3 linked regions of the Xenopus tropicalis genome follow. The protein of the gene in region 1 interacts with the protein of each later gene in a pairwise test. Links are inferred from orthologs where the notes say so. Each region holds a gene or a part of one and is shown on either strand. Other genes may lie near its edges.

What was found. The genes of interacting proteins can lie anywhere in the genome.
Region 2: the proteins of tk1 (region 1) and lrif1 interact in a two-hybrid assay, tested with the Homo sapiens proteins (2 studies listed by BioGRID and IntAct). The link is inferred for Xenopus tropicalis from reciprocal best matches to the Homo sapiens genes TK1 and LRIF1.
Region 3: the proteins of tk1 (region 1) and aplp1 interact in a two-hybrid assay, tested with the Homo sapiens proteins (2 studies listed by BioGRID and IntAct). The link is inferred for Xenopus tropicalis from reciprocal best matches to the Homo sapiens genes TK1 and APLP1.

What each region holds. Positions count from the first base shown.
Region 1 is NC_030686.2:26,185,795-26,189,934, forward strand, and holds the start of tk1 (thymidine kinase, cytosolic), read left to right. Parts: upstream 1-1,338; 5' UTR 1,339-1,356; coding exon 1,357-1,422; intron 1,423-3,511; coding exon 3,512-3,543; intron 3,544-3,931; coding exon 3,932-4,045; intron 4,046-4,140. UniProt on the Homo sapiens protein: Cell-cycle-regulated enzyme of importance in nucleotide metabolism. Catalyzes the first enzymatic step in the salvage pathway converting thymidine into thymidine monophosphate.
Region 2 is NC_030678.2:178,774,845-178,778,848, forward strand, and holds the start of lrif1 (ligand-dependent nuclear receptor-interacting factor 1), read left to right. Parts: upstream 1-1,190; 5' UTR 1,191-1,484; coding exon 1,485-1,543; intron 1,544-4,004. UniProt on the Homo sapiens protein: Together with SMCHD1, involved in chromosome X inactivation in females by promoting the compaction of heterochromatin.
Region 3 is NC_030683.2:128,757,607-128,761,661, forward strand, and holds the start of aplp1 (amyloid-like protein 1), read left to right. Parts: upstream 1-1,241; 5' UTR 1,242-1,496; coding exon 1,497-1,565; intron 1,566-4,055. UniProt on the Homo sapiens protein: May play a role in postsynaptic function. The C-terminal gamma-secretase processed fragment, ALID1, activates transcription activation through APBB1 (Fe65) binding. Couples to JIP signal transduction through C-terminal binding.

The sequences.
Region 1 (4,140 bases):
GAGGGTATAGCACATTTTCGTCTGCGCCCGCCATTTGATCTATATAAAAGGGGTTATTTTTTTAAAAATGGGATGTGGTAATTGGGGCGTGGCCACAAAAGGGGGCGTGGTCAAAAATTGCCGTGCTGCGCGTGCCAAATCTTTTTGTCCCTCTTTTCATTTTTCAAATGTTGGGAGGTATGATATTATACTTCCTGACAATCTGATTAATACTATACAAACAAAGTAGTGAGAAACTGGGCAGTAGCAGTAATAGCAGGTAATATGACAAAGGAGAAAGTCAGAGACCTTCAGCGGGGCATGGAGCCCCTATTAGCTGGGCATGGAGCCCCTATTAGCGGGGCATGGAGCCCCTATTAGCGGGGCATGGAGCCCCTATTAGCTGGGCATGGAGCCCCTATTAGCTGGGCATGGAGCCCCTATTAGCTGGGCATGGAGCTCGTATTAGCTGGGCATGGAGCCCCTATTAGCTGGGCATGGAGCCCCTATTAGCTGGGCATGGAGCCCCTATTAGCGGGGCATGGAGCCCCTATTAGCGGGGCATGGAGCCCCTATTAGCTGGGCATGGAGCCCCTATTAGCGGGGCATGGAGCCCCTATTAGCTAGGCATGGAGCCCCTATTAGCTAGGCATGGAGCCCCTATTAGCGGGGCATGGAGCCCCTATTAGCTGGGCATGGAGCCCCTATTAGCGGGGCATGGAGCCCCTATTAGCGGGGCATGGAGCCCCTATTAGCTGGGAAAGCTCTCTCTGAAAATAAATATCTGCTATTGGCACAATTTTTTTTTTTTTTAAAAATGTATTTTCTTCTATTGCAAAAATTCTTACTTTGGCAAAAGGGACAGAGTTGGGGGGGGTGATTTTATTAAAATTGTGAAGCACTTCTTTAAACATACAGGCTAAGCGTAATACTAGTGCCAAAACGCGTCAGCCATCGTTCTAACAAGTGCCACAACCCACAACAGGATTTCGCTGCGGTATCAGCGGTAGATTTCATTGAAGCGTTCCGCAAGCTTTCCTTCATATTATATGCAACTGACCCTTGCATACTCCCTCGCTAACTGGAAAAGAACATTTACATTACAGGGTCCCACTAGTTACAAATTCATGTTTATTTAATTTTCTTTTCCCGCCACCTCCAACTCGTTTGCCAAACACCAGGCCAACCAGTGAAAGCTGAATCCCCTCCTTCCTCATCTTCATAACAGCGGGGGCTGTAGAATCCCATTGGCTAGCGTACACCATCGCCGCCTGTGATTGGACAGAGCTGCGCGGGAGAATGCACAGACGTTGTATTGAAAGAAGTGACTGTACCGGACACAGTCATTCCCGCGCTCTGCTCTCGCCTGGTACCGATATGAATTGCCTCAACGTACCCGAAATCATGCCAGGCTCGCCCAGCAAATCCCGGGGCCAGATCCAGGTAAGCCGGGCACAGCATTACATTTAGCCATGCAGTTTACTCTCCAGATGACTTGTCATGAAGTGAAGTGATTTGTAGTTCTAGGAGAAACTGGCTGAGCACTCTTGTTATATGACAGCTGCAAGGGAGTTTTTGTGTTGTATCTAGCCTAACACATCTTTATGAGAGGCCCCCTAAAGGGAACGTGTATTAATAGTGGGCTCAGGTGCATGTATAGATTATATTTGCCCTCAGTATTATACACCAAGGGCTGTGAGGCACAACACACTGCATCATGCAGCTCCCAGACATACATCTTGTATATAGACTTACATTTGGGTTAAGTATATATTTAAGTGCAACTGTACAGGGCAGGGACTTTGTTCCTTATTAGTGGGGTTATCATTTTTATATAAGTACCCAAGGGCATGTACCAAATGTGGCAGCCTTAGGGGTTGCACTCTGGTGCCTGGAAAGAACAAAACAAAATATATCCCTGCCCTTGAAGCTTATGGTGTGTGCCAAATAATTCTAGCAGTAAGTGGAAAGACTGCTAAGAATTCTGGTTTTTAGGGTAGTGGCACATATGGCATCATAGGGGCTGGGATTCAAAACAGAACCTGCTATTTCAAGCACACAGAGGCCTAAACAGCCAGGGACAGGCTCCAGAAATAGTGACTGTTTGTGGCATGTACCAAAATCTGCAGATTGGCAGTCTGAGCCTGATATTCAGGGTTATTTTCTAGGGGGGTTTATGGCACACAATGAATTCACTTTCTTTTGTATGTGAGCCCCATAAAGTGTTGGCAAAGACTATTCCCAGTGTCTTAGTACAGGGATCCCCAACCTTTTTTTGCTTGTGAGCCACACTCTGCTGTAAAAAGTGTTGGTGGGCCACACAGGCATGAAAAAGGTTTTTGGGGTTGCCAAATAAGGGCTGTGATTGGCTATTCGATAGCCCCATGTGGGCTGCTAGCCTGCAGGAGGCTCTGCTTGAAGTAAAACTGTGTCTCTGTGATTCCAAAACTTGCCTCCAAGCCAGACATTCAAAAATGAGCACCTGCTTTGAGACCACTGGGAGCAACATCCAAGGGGGTGGGGAGTGACATGTTGCTCAGGAGTCACTGGTTGGGGATCACTGTTGTAGTAGTTGGGATTGGGTATATATCATATGCATTCTTACAGAGTTTATCTATAAATAGAATACTAATGCTGGCAAAGGATGGAATGCAGAATTGTGTTTTGAACAAAGGTTTGACTGAATACACATTCTGTAGATAAAAGGTTCTACATTCCACAACATAGATTCTACATTCTGCCGCACTCACAGGTGGGGAGGAGAGCGGCGTTTATGCTGCTCCTTTGTTCTCCAGCCCCTAGGAAACAAGCAGTATTGTAAAAATCTGGTCTGTGTGCTAATTTTGAAGTAGTTGAAGAGACTGCCATGACTATTTTATTTATTATTTTCATTTTGGGGCCTTTACATTTCACGGTCTTTGGCGAACCTTTGTATGGATACAGGGCCAGAAGACCCGTCCTATTTATAGTGCCATACAATGGTACCTTTATCACATTTTGAAGATAAAATACAGAGAGGTTTGAGTTAGTTTTTACTAAAATTTATTAGAAATCCACTTTAGCAAAGCATTGCTACCACTGGAAATTATTTGGCCATGCAATTGTATGCTGATTTCTGCTGCACTGCTTTGAAAACCTGCTTATGTTTGGAATTTATGACCTGTACAAGTCAGAATTCTGGTATTGGCTCATTCGGGAGACATGGGGCCTTCCAGATCAGTGAAATATAAAATGCTTCTGATATATACTTCTGTATTGTATAGAAATTATTTTTATCATGTTACAGAAGTGGAGTTGCACAAAGACTCTGAGAATGTTAAGGTTGTCCTAACAAAGCAATGGGCAGTTTCAATATGTAAACTAAAAGACAAAATGCCCCAAAGAACACAAAATGCTCAAATTAGCTACATGGTTAATGATAAAAGATGTTAAAAAGTATACATGTCCATCAAATGAAAGTGTATATACCATGACTGCTATAGTTGGTTTGTGTGTTAATTTGTATTTCAAACCCATTTGTTTTTACTTTTAGGTGATATTTGGGCCAATGTTTTCTGGAAAAAGGTGAGTTCAAAGGACCGCGCAATTCTATATTCTCTCTCATGAGCTGTAATCTAGATGTTCCTTATTGAGAACAGTGTGTTGCTATGGCAATGGGGCACGCTACTTCCAATGGGCTAAAGTGCTTTGGAAGGAGGGCAGTAGGGGAATCAGTCTTGGTCTGCGTTGGGACAATTCTTCTTTTTTTTTTTTTTTTTTTTTTTTTTTTTTGAATGGATGGTGGTGCTGTTTGGTATTTGCTCACATTGCATCCATTTTTAGAGTGCTGCAGTATGTATTATAGTAAGCCTTTTTAAAAAAGTATGTTTATTGTCCTTTAACTGCTGTATGTCATCGCATGAGACTGCTTATTTTCCTATTCTGCTGAACAAATTTTCTGTATATTTTACAGCACAGAGCTGATGCGCAGAGTGCGACGGTTTCAGATTGCACAGTACAAGTGCATGCTTATAAAGTATGCGAAAGATACACGCTACAGCAAAGAGCATCTTGCTACACATGACCAGTAAGCAATTTTACACATTCTGTATTGTTAAGCTCATCTTATCTACATATAGAAATATCGCATATCATTGGTTGTGGTACATTTGTATTTACTGA
Region 2 (4,004 bases), on another chromosome or scaffold:
AAGCTTCACCTGCACTGAGATACAGTGTTTTCCATATTTAATTAAATAGGTAGCTTTTGGCAGAGAGCCCAGAAAGTTAACAAGCTTCACCTGCACTGAGATACAGTGTTTTCCATATTTAATTAAATAAGTAGCTTTTGGCAGAGAGCCCAGAAAGGTAACAAGCTTCACCTGCACTTAGGTACAGTGTTTCTAACATTTCATTAAATAAGTTTTTGGCAGAGAGCCCAGATATCTTAACAAGCTTCACCTGCACTTACATACAGTGTTTTCCATATTTAATTAAATAAGTAGCTTTTGGCAGAGCCCAGAAATCTTAACGAGCTTCACCTGCACTTAGATACAGTGTTTTCCATATTTAATTAAATAAGTAGCTTTTGGCAGAGAGCCCAGAAAGTTAACGAGCTTCACCTGCACTGAGATACAGTGTTTTCCATATTTAATTAAATAAGTAGCTTTTGGCAGAGAGCCCAGAAAGTTAACGAGCTTCACCTGCACTGAGATACAAGTGTAACTAATAAGCTAAACGGGTCTCTTGGGGGAACTGAGACTTTTGAACAAAACTGTAATAACACATAAAACCCCCAGAAATGTGTTCAAACTTTAACCTGCCAAATGTAGTCACATGGGAGAGGTACTTAGGGGGTGTGGTCACAAAAATGGGCGTGGTCAACAAATGTTGCTGCATTTCCTTTTGTCCCTCTTTCCATTTTCAAAACGTTGGGAGGTATGTAGTATGCACATTAACAAGCAACACTGTGTCACTGTGACTATATACAGTCAGTAATATAAGTGAAAGTGTCCCTATGTATACACACAGCAGCACAATGGCTGACTCCTCCCTACATGGGAGCCAAGTGGCGCTAAATCGCTCAGACCAAGCGCAATAAAGATACATTCAGCCTCAGTTCTGAGCCCTCTCTGCCTCTAACACTGCGGCCCTAACACCCCGCTAAGCGGCGACTCAGAACCATACACTTCCTCTGAGAAAACAAAAGCTTCCGCTCAGCAAACCGGAACTGGGATTTTTTTCTAGACTGGCCGGAAATCGCGTTGCCGGAAGTGGCACAGGAAGCAGAGGCGCTATTGGACGTGACGCGCAGAGCCAATGCAAAGAGCCAATGAGTCCGGGCGAGGAAGGAGTGGCTTCCGGTAGGCTGAGCCGGGAGAGCAGTAAGTGTTCCGTACGGTGCCAGTAGGTTGGGGCTGTGGGTGGCGGGCTCGGCGGGAGCAGTGCGGCGCGGAGAGAGTGAGGGGCCCTGTGTGTGCGGAACCGGAGAGTGTGTGACTGAGCCCTGAGCGGAAAGGGCGGGAATCCGGGGCTCCATCAGGGGGCGCAGTGTTACTGTTTGTCAGGGGAGGGGCGGTGTCAGCCCGACAGGGGGCGCTGTGTGTATCGCGGGGAATGTCAGTTTGGGGAATTATTGCTTTATATTTCCCCCATTTGGGCGCCGTACTGCGGCTTCAATAATCCGGGCCCACCCATGTCTCAGTTCCAGCAGCTGGGGGTGAACTCCCAGGAGAAAACCGCCCCCACCCAGAGGTAAGTGCCCCTAGCGGTGCTGTATATACCCAAGCCTGCTGCCCCCTAGCGGTGCTATATATACCCAAGCCTACTGCCCCCTAGCGGTGCTATATATACCCAAGCCTACTGCCCCCTAGCGGTGCTATATATACCCAAGCCTGCTGCCCCCTAGCGGTGCTATATATACCCAAGCCTGCTGCCCCCTAGCGGTGCTATATATACCCAAGCCTGCTGCCCCTAGCGGTGTTATATATACCCAAGCCTGCTGCCCCCTAGCGGTGCTATATATACCCAAGCCTGCTGCCCCCTAGCGGTGCTATATATACCCAAGCCTGCTGCCCCCTAGCGGTGCTATATATACCCAAGCCTGCTGCCCCCTAGCGGTGCTATATATACCCAAGCCTACTGCCCCCTAGCGGTGCTATATATACCCAAGCCTACTGCCCCCTAGCGGTGCTATATATACCCAAGCCTGCTGCCCCCTAGCGGTGCTATAAATACCCAAGCCTGCTGCCCCCTAGCGGTGTTATACCTACCCAAGCCTACTGCCCCCTAGCGGTGCTATATATACCCAAGCCTGCTGCCCCCTAGCGGTGCTATATATACCCAAGCCTACTGCCCCCTAGCGGTGTTATATATACCCAAGCCTACTGCCCCCTAGCGGTGCTATATATACCCAAGCCTGCTGCCCCCTAGCGGTGCTATATATACCCAAGCCTGCTGCCCCCTAGCGGTGCTGTATATACCCAAGCCTGCTGCCCCCTAGCGGTGTTATACCTACCCAAGCCTACTGCCCCCTAGCGGTGTTATACCTACCCAAGCCTACTGCCCCCTAGCGGTGCTGTATATACCCAAGCCTGCTGCCCCCTAGCGGTGTTATACCTACCCAAGCCTACTGCCCCCTAGCGGTGCTATATATACCCAAGCCTGCTGCCCCCTAGCGGTGCTGTATATACCCAAGCCTACTGCCCCCTAGCGGTGCTATATATACCCAAGCCTGCTGCCCCCTAGCGGTGCTATATATACCCAAGCCTGCTGCCCCCTAGCGGTGCTATATATACCCAAGCCTACTGCCCCCTAGCGGTGTTATATATACCCAAGCCTGCTGCCCCCTAGCGGTGCTATATATACCCAAGCCTACTGCCCCCTAGCGGTGCTATATATACCCAAGCCTACTGCCCCCTAGCGGTGCTATATATACCCAAGCCTGCTGCCCCCTAGCGGTGCTATATATACCCAAGCCTGCTGCCCCCTAGCGGTGCTATATATACCCAAGCCTGCTGCCCCCTAGCGGTGCTATATATACCCAAGCCTGCTGCCCCCTAGCGGTGCTATATATACCCAAGCCTGCTGCCCCCTAGCGGTGCTATAAATACCCAAGCCTGCTGCCCCTAGCGGTGCTATATATACCCAAGCCTGCTGCCCCCTAGCGGTGTTATACCTACCCAAGCCTACTGCCCCCTAGCGGTGTTATACCTACCCAAGCCTACTGCCCCCTAGCGGTGCTGTATATACCCAAGCCTGCTGCCCCCTAGCGGTGTTATACCTACCCAAGCCTACTGCCCCCTAGCGGTGCTATATATACCCAAGCCTACTGCCCCCTAGCGGTGCTGTATATACCCAAGCCTGCTGCCCCCTAGCGGTGCTGTATATACCCAAGCCTACTGCCCCCTAGCGGTGTTATATATACCCAAGCCTGCTGCCCCCTAGCGGTGCTGTATATACCCAAGCCTGCTGCCCCCTAGCGGTGCTGTATATACCCAAGCCTACTGCCCCCTAGCGGTGTTATATATACCCAAGCCTACTGCCCCCTAGCGGTGCTATATATACCCAAGCCTACTGCCCCCTAGCGGTGCTATATATACCCAAGCCTACTGCCCCCTAGCGGTGCTATATATACCCAAGCCTGCTGCCCCCTAGCGGTGCTATATATACCCAAGCCTGCTGCCCCCTAGCGGTGCTATATATACCCAAGCCTGCTGCCCCCTAGCGGTGCTATATATACCCAAGCCTGCTGCCCCCTAGCGGTGCTATATATACCCAAGCCTGCTGCCCCCTAGCGGTGCTATAAATACCCAAGCCTGCTGCCCCCTAGCGGTGCTATATATACCCAAGCCTGCTGCCCCTAGCGGTGTTATACCTACCCAAGCCTACTGCCCCCTAGCGGTGTTATACCTACCCAAGCCTACTGCCCCCTAGCGGTGCTGTATATACCCAAGCCTGCTGCCCCCTAGCGGTGTTATACCTACCCAAGCCTACTGCCCCCTAGCGGTGCTATATATACCCAAGCCTACTGCCCCCTAGCGGTGCTATATATACCCAAGCCTGCTGCCCCCTAGCGGTGCTGTATATACCCAAGCCTACTGCCCCCTAGCGGTGTTATACCTACCCAAGCCTACTGCCCCCTAGCGGTGCTATATATACCCAAGCCTGCTGCCCCCTAGCGGTGCTATATATACCCAAGCCTGCTGCCCCCTAG
Region 3 (4,055 bases), on another chromosome or scaffold:
AGGGGCAGGCAGTAACCCTTCCAACACTTTCCCCTGTCTCTGCCCTATATATTAGGTACCTACCTAGTGCTACCAACTCCTATTTCTGTAGGGAAATGAGAGCAGAGCAGGCAGTAACCCTTCCAACACTTTCCCCTGTCTCTGCCCCTATATATTAGGTACCTACCTAGTGCTACCAACCCCTATTTCTGTAGGGAAATGAGAGCAGGGCAGGCAGTAACCCTTCCAACACTTTCCCCTGTCTCTGCCCCTATATATTAGGTACCTACCTAGTGCTACCAACCCCTATTTCTGTAGGGAAATGAGAGCAGAGCAGGCAGTAACCCTTCCAACACTTTCCCCTGTCTCTGTCCCTATATATTAGGTACCTACCTAGTGCTACCAACCCCTATTTCTGTAGGGAAATGAGAGCAGGGCAGGCAGTAACCCTTCCAACACTTTCCCCTGTCTCTGTCCCTATATATTAGGTACCTACCTAGTGCTACCAACCCCTATTTCTGTAGGGAAATGAGAGCAGAGCAGGCAGTAACCCTTCCAACACTTTCCCCTGTCTCTGTCCCTATATATTAGGTACCTACCTAGTGCTACCAACCCCTATTTCTGTAGGGAAATGAGAGCAGAGCAGGCAGTAACCCTTCCAACACTTTCCCCTGTCTCTGTCCCTATATATTAGGTACCTACCTAGTGCTACCAACCCCTATTTCTGTAGGGAAATGAGAGCAGAGCAGGCAGTAACCCTTCCAACACTTTCCCCTGTCTCTGTCCCTATATATTAGGTACCTACCTAGTGCTACCAACCCCTATTTCTGTAGGGAAATGAGAGCAGGGCAGGCAGTAACCCTTCCAACACTTTCCCCTGTCTCTGTCCCTATATATTAGGTACCTACCTAGTGCTACCAACCCCTATTTCTGTAGGGAAATGAGAGCAGGGCAGGCAGTAACCCTTCCAACACTTTCCCCTGTCTCTGCCCCTATATATTAGGTACCTACCTAGTGCTACCAACCCCTATTTCTGTAGGGAAATGAGAGCAGGGCAGGCAGTAACCCTTCCAACACTTTCCCCTGTCTCCGTCTGTCGCTCGGCTCCTGAATATTTCATGCCATTTCCTTCTGGTTTGGTGGAGAATGATAGAAATGTCCGTAGAAGGAGATTGGATGCTGGGAGGAGAGGGAGGAGGAGAAAGGGATAGAGAGACAGAGGGGAGGAGAGATAGAAAGAGACAGAGGGGAGGAGAGAGAGAGAGAGAGAGAGAGAGAGGGAGAGAGAGACAGATGAGGAGGGGGATGGGACACGTCTTTGTATAGCAGAACGAGGCTTGTGAGGAACAGACCCATAGAGATACCCAGTGCCACTGGCAGCCACACATGTACCCACTGCCTCCGTGACACCCAGAGACCCACACACAGGGCGAGCCACCCTAGGGTGCCACAGGCACATCCTCAGCGGCACTGGTCCTCCCTGCTCCATCAGCATCACTCCCCCAGGAGAAGGAACCATGGGTGCATCCGAGAGACTAAAGTCCAGCCTTCTGCCTGCCAGCTGCCTCCTTCTGCTGGGTGCTCAGGTGAGGGGGCTCTACAGGGCCATATTGGGGTGGGTGCTGGGTGGGCGACGTTGCCTAAGGGCAAGGGGTGAAAGGAAAGGTGCAGACAGTGGGCACAGCTGGACTGGGTGGAGCCCCTCTCTATAGTGGCACGGGGGGGGGGGCAGCATGGAAGGATTCAGGTCATGTTTCTATTGGCTTGGCAGGGGGGGTTATTGTGATGAATTGCCCCCACCAACCCAACGCTTCATGTGGCAGCGAAGGGGTTAATTCACGTGTGATGGGTGCGCAGGGAGTAGGTATTGATCTGGAAGCGGGGGCGGATGGGGCATCAGCAGGGGCAGTTGTGCTAGGGCTGGGGGGGCTGGGAGGGGGGGATCCAATATAGATTGAAGGGTCCTGCATGGGGTTAATGTTGTTTTCTTCATATGACACCGATATCCATAATAATCAATAATCCATAATCATAAACCCATAGCCCATAGGGTTGTGCAGCATACAAGGCTTGTCTCAAGAGCTTACAGTCTAGAGGGACACCCTACCTCGCCGGGTGGTGCTAAAGCGTGTAGGCTTCTGTAAAAGCGACATGCAAAATACTGGACTCAGGAGCTCACAATCTAAAGGGTCAAGGTGGCCGCCAGTTGGAAGGTAAAATGGGGGGAGATCAGTCCGTGGCCCTCCAGCCCCCACATACATAGAAATACACATTTATTAACAATGGGCAAAACTGCACCAATGCAGTAACCCGTAGCAACCAATTAGAGGTGTCAGCCTGCAGTCGACAGATATAGTGTAAGTGTAATTGCTGATTGGTCGGAAGGGGTTGGTGCAGTGGTGCCCACTTACCTGTTAGTAACAAAAAATGTATCTGGATTTCTAAAGCTACGGGCCAGGGGCCAATGGCACCTCTGGGCACAAGGGAATGCTGGTTGCCAGGTCTGATTCAGGGTAGTAGGTCCCATGGCACAATAGGTCTCCCCCATTATTTATACACAATAATACGGCCCAACCTTCTGCTCACCCACTGTTGTGTAACTATGTGATTTCTGCCACTTCAACAACAACTGAAGGGCTACAGGTTGGCACCACGGTTACTGTCACACAGTGTTACCGGCCCAGTCTTACCCTACCCACCACCTTGCCTTCATTCCTTATCTTCCCCTACTGTCTCCATCTTCCCCTACTGTCTCCATCTTGCCCTACTGTCTCCATCTTGCCCTACTGTCTCCATCTTGCCCTACTGTCTCCATCTTGCCCTACTGTCTCCATCTTGTCCTACTGTCTCCATCTTGCCCTACTGTCTCCATCTTGCTCTACTGTCTCCATCTTGTCCTACTGTCTCCATCTTGCTCTACTGTCTCCATCTTGCCCTACTGTCTCCATCTTGCCCTACTGTCTCCATCTTGCCCTACTGTTTCCATCTTGACATCTTTTCCTACTGTCTCCATCTTGCCCTACTGTCTCCATCTTGCTCTACTGTCTCCATCTTGCCCTACTGTCTCCATCTTGCCCTACTGTCTCCATCTTGCCCTACTGTCTCCATCTTGTCCTACTGTCTCCATCTTGCCCTACTGTCTCCATCTTGCTCTACTGTCTCCATCTTGCCCTACTGTCTCCATCTTGCCCTACTGTCTCCATCTTGCTCTACTGTCTCCATCTTGTCCTACTGTCTCCATCTTGCTCTACTGTCTCCATCTTGCCCTACTGTCTCCATCTTGCCCTACTGTCTCCATCTTGCCCTACTGTCTCCATCTTGTCCTACTGTCTCCATCTTTCCCTACTATCTCCATCTTGTTTTACTGTCTCCATCTTGCTCTACTGTCTCCATCTTGCCCTACTGTCTCCATCTTGCCCTACTGTCTCCATCTTGTCCTACTGTCTCCATCTTTCCCTACTATCTCCATCTTGTTTTACTGTCTCCATCTTGCTCTACTGTCTCCATCTTGCCCTACTGTCTCCATCTTGTCCTACTGTCTGCATCTTTCCCTACTGTCTGCATCTTGTTTTATTGTCTCCATCTTGTTCTACTGTTTCCATCTTGCCCGACTGTCTTCATCTTGTTCTACTGTCTCCATCTTGCTCGACTGTCTTTATCTTGCCCTACTGTCTCCATCTTGTCCTACTGTCTCCATCTTGTTCTACTGTCTCCATCTTGCCCTACTGTCTCCATTTTTCCCTACTGTCTCCATCTTGTTCTACTGTCTCCATCTTGCCCTAATGTCTCCATCTTGGCCTACTGTCCCCATCTTGTTCTACTGTCTCCATCTTGCCCTACTGTCTCCATCTTGTCCTACTGTCTCCATCTTGCCCTACTGTCTCCATCTTGTCCTACTGTCTCCATCTTGTTCTACTGTCTCCATCTTGCCCTACTGTCTCCATCTTGGCCTACTGTCTCCATCTTGCCCTACTGTCTCTATCTTGTTCTACTGTCTCTATCTTGTTCTACTGTCTCCATTTTGTCCTACTGTCTCCATCTTGTCCTACTGTCTCCATCTTGCCCTACTGTCTCCA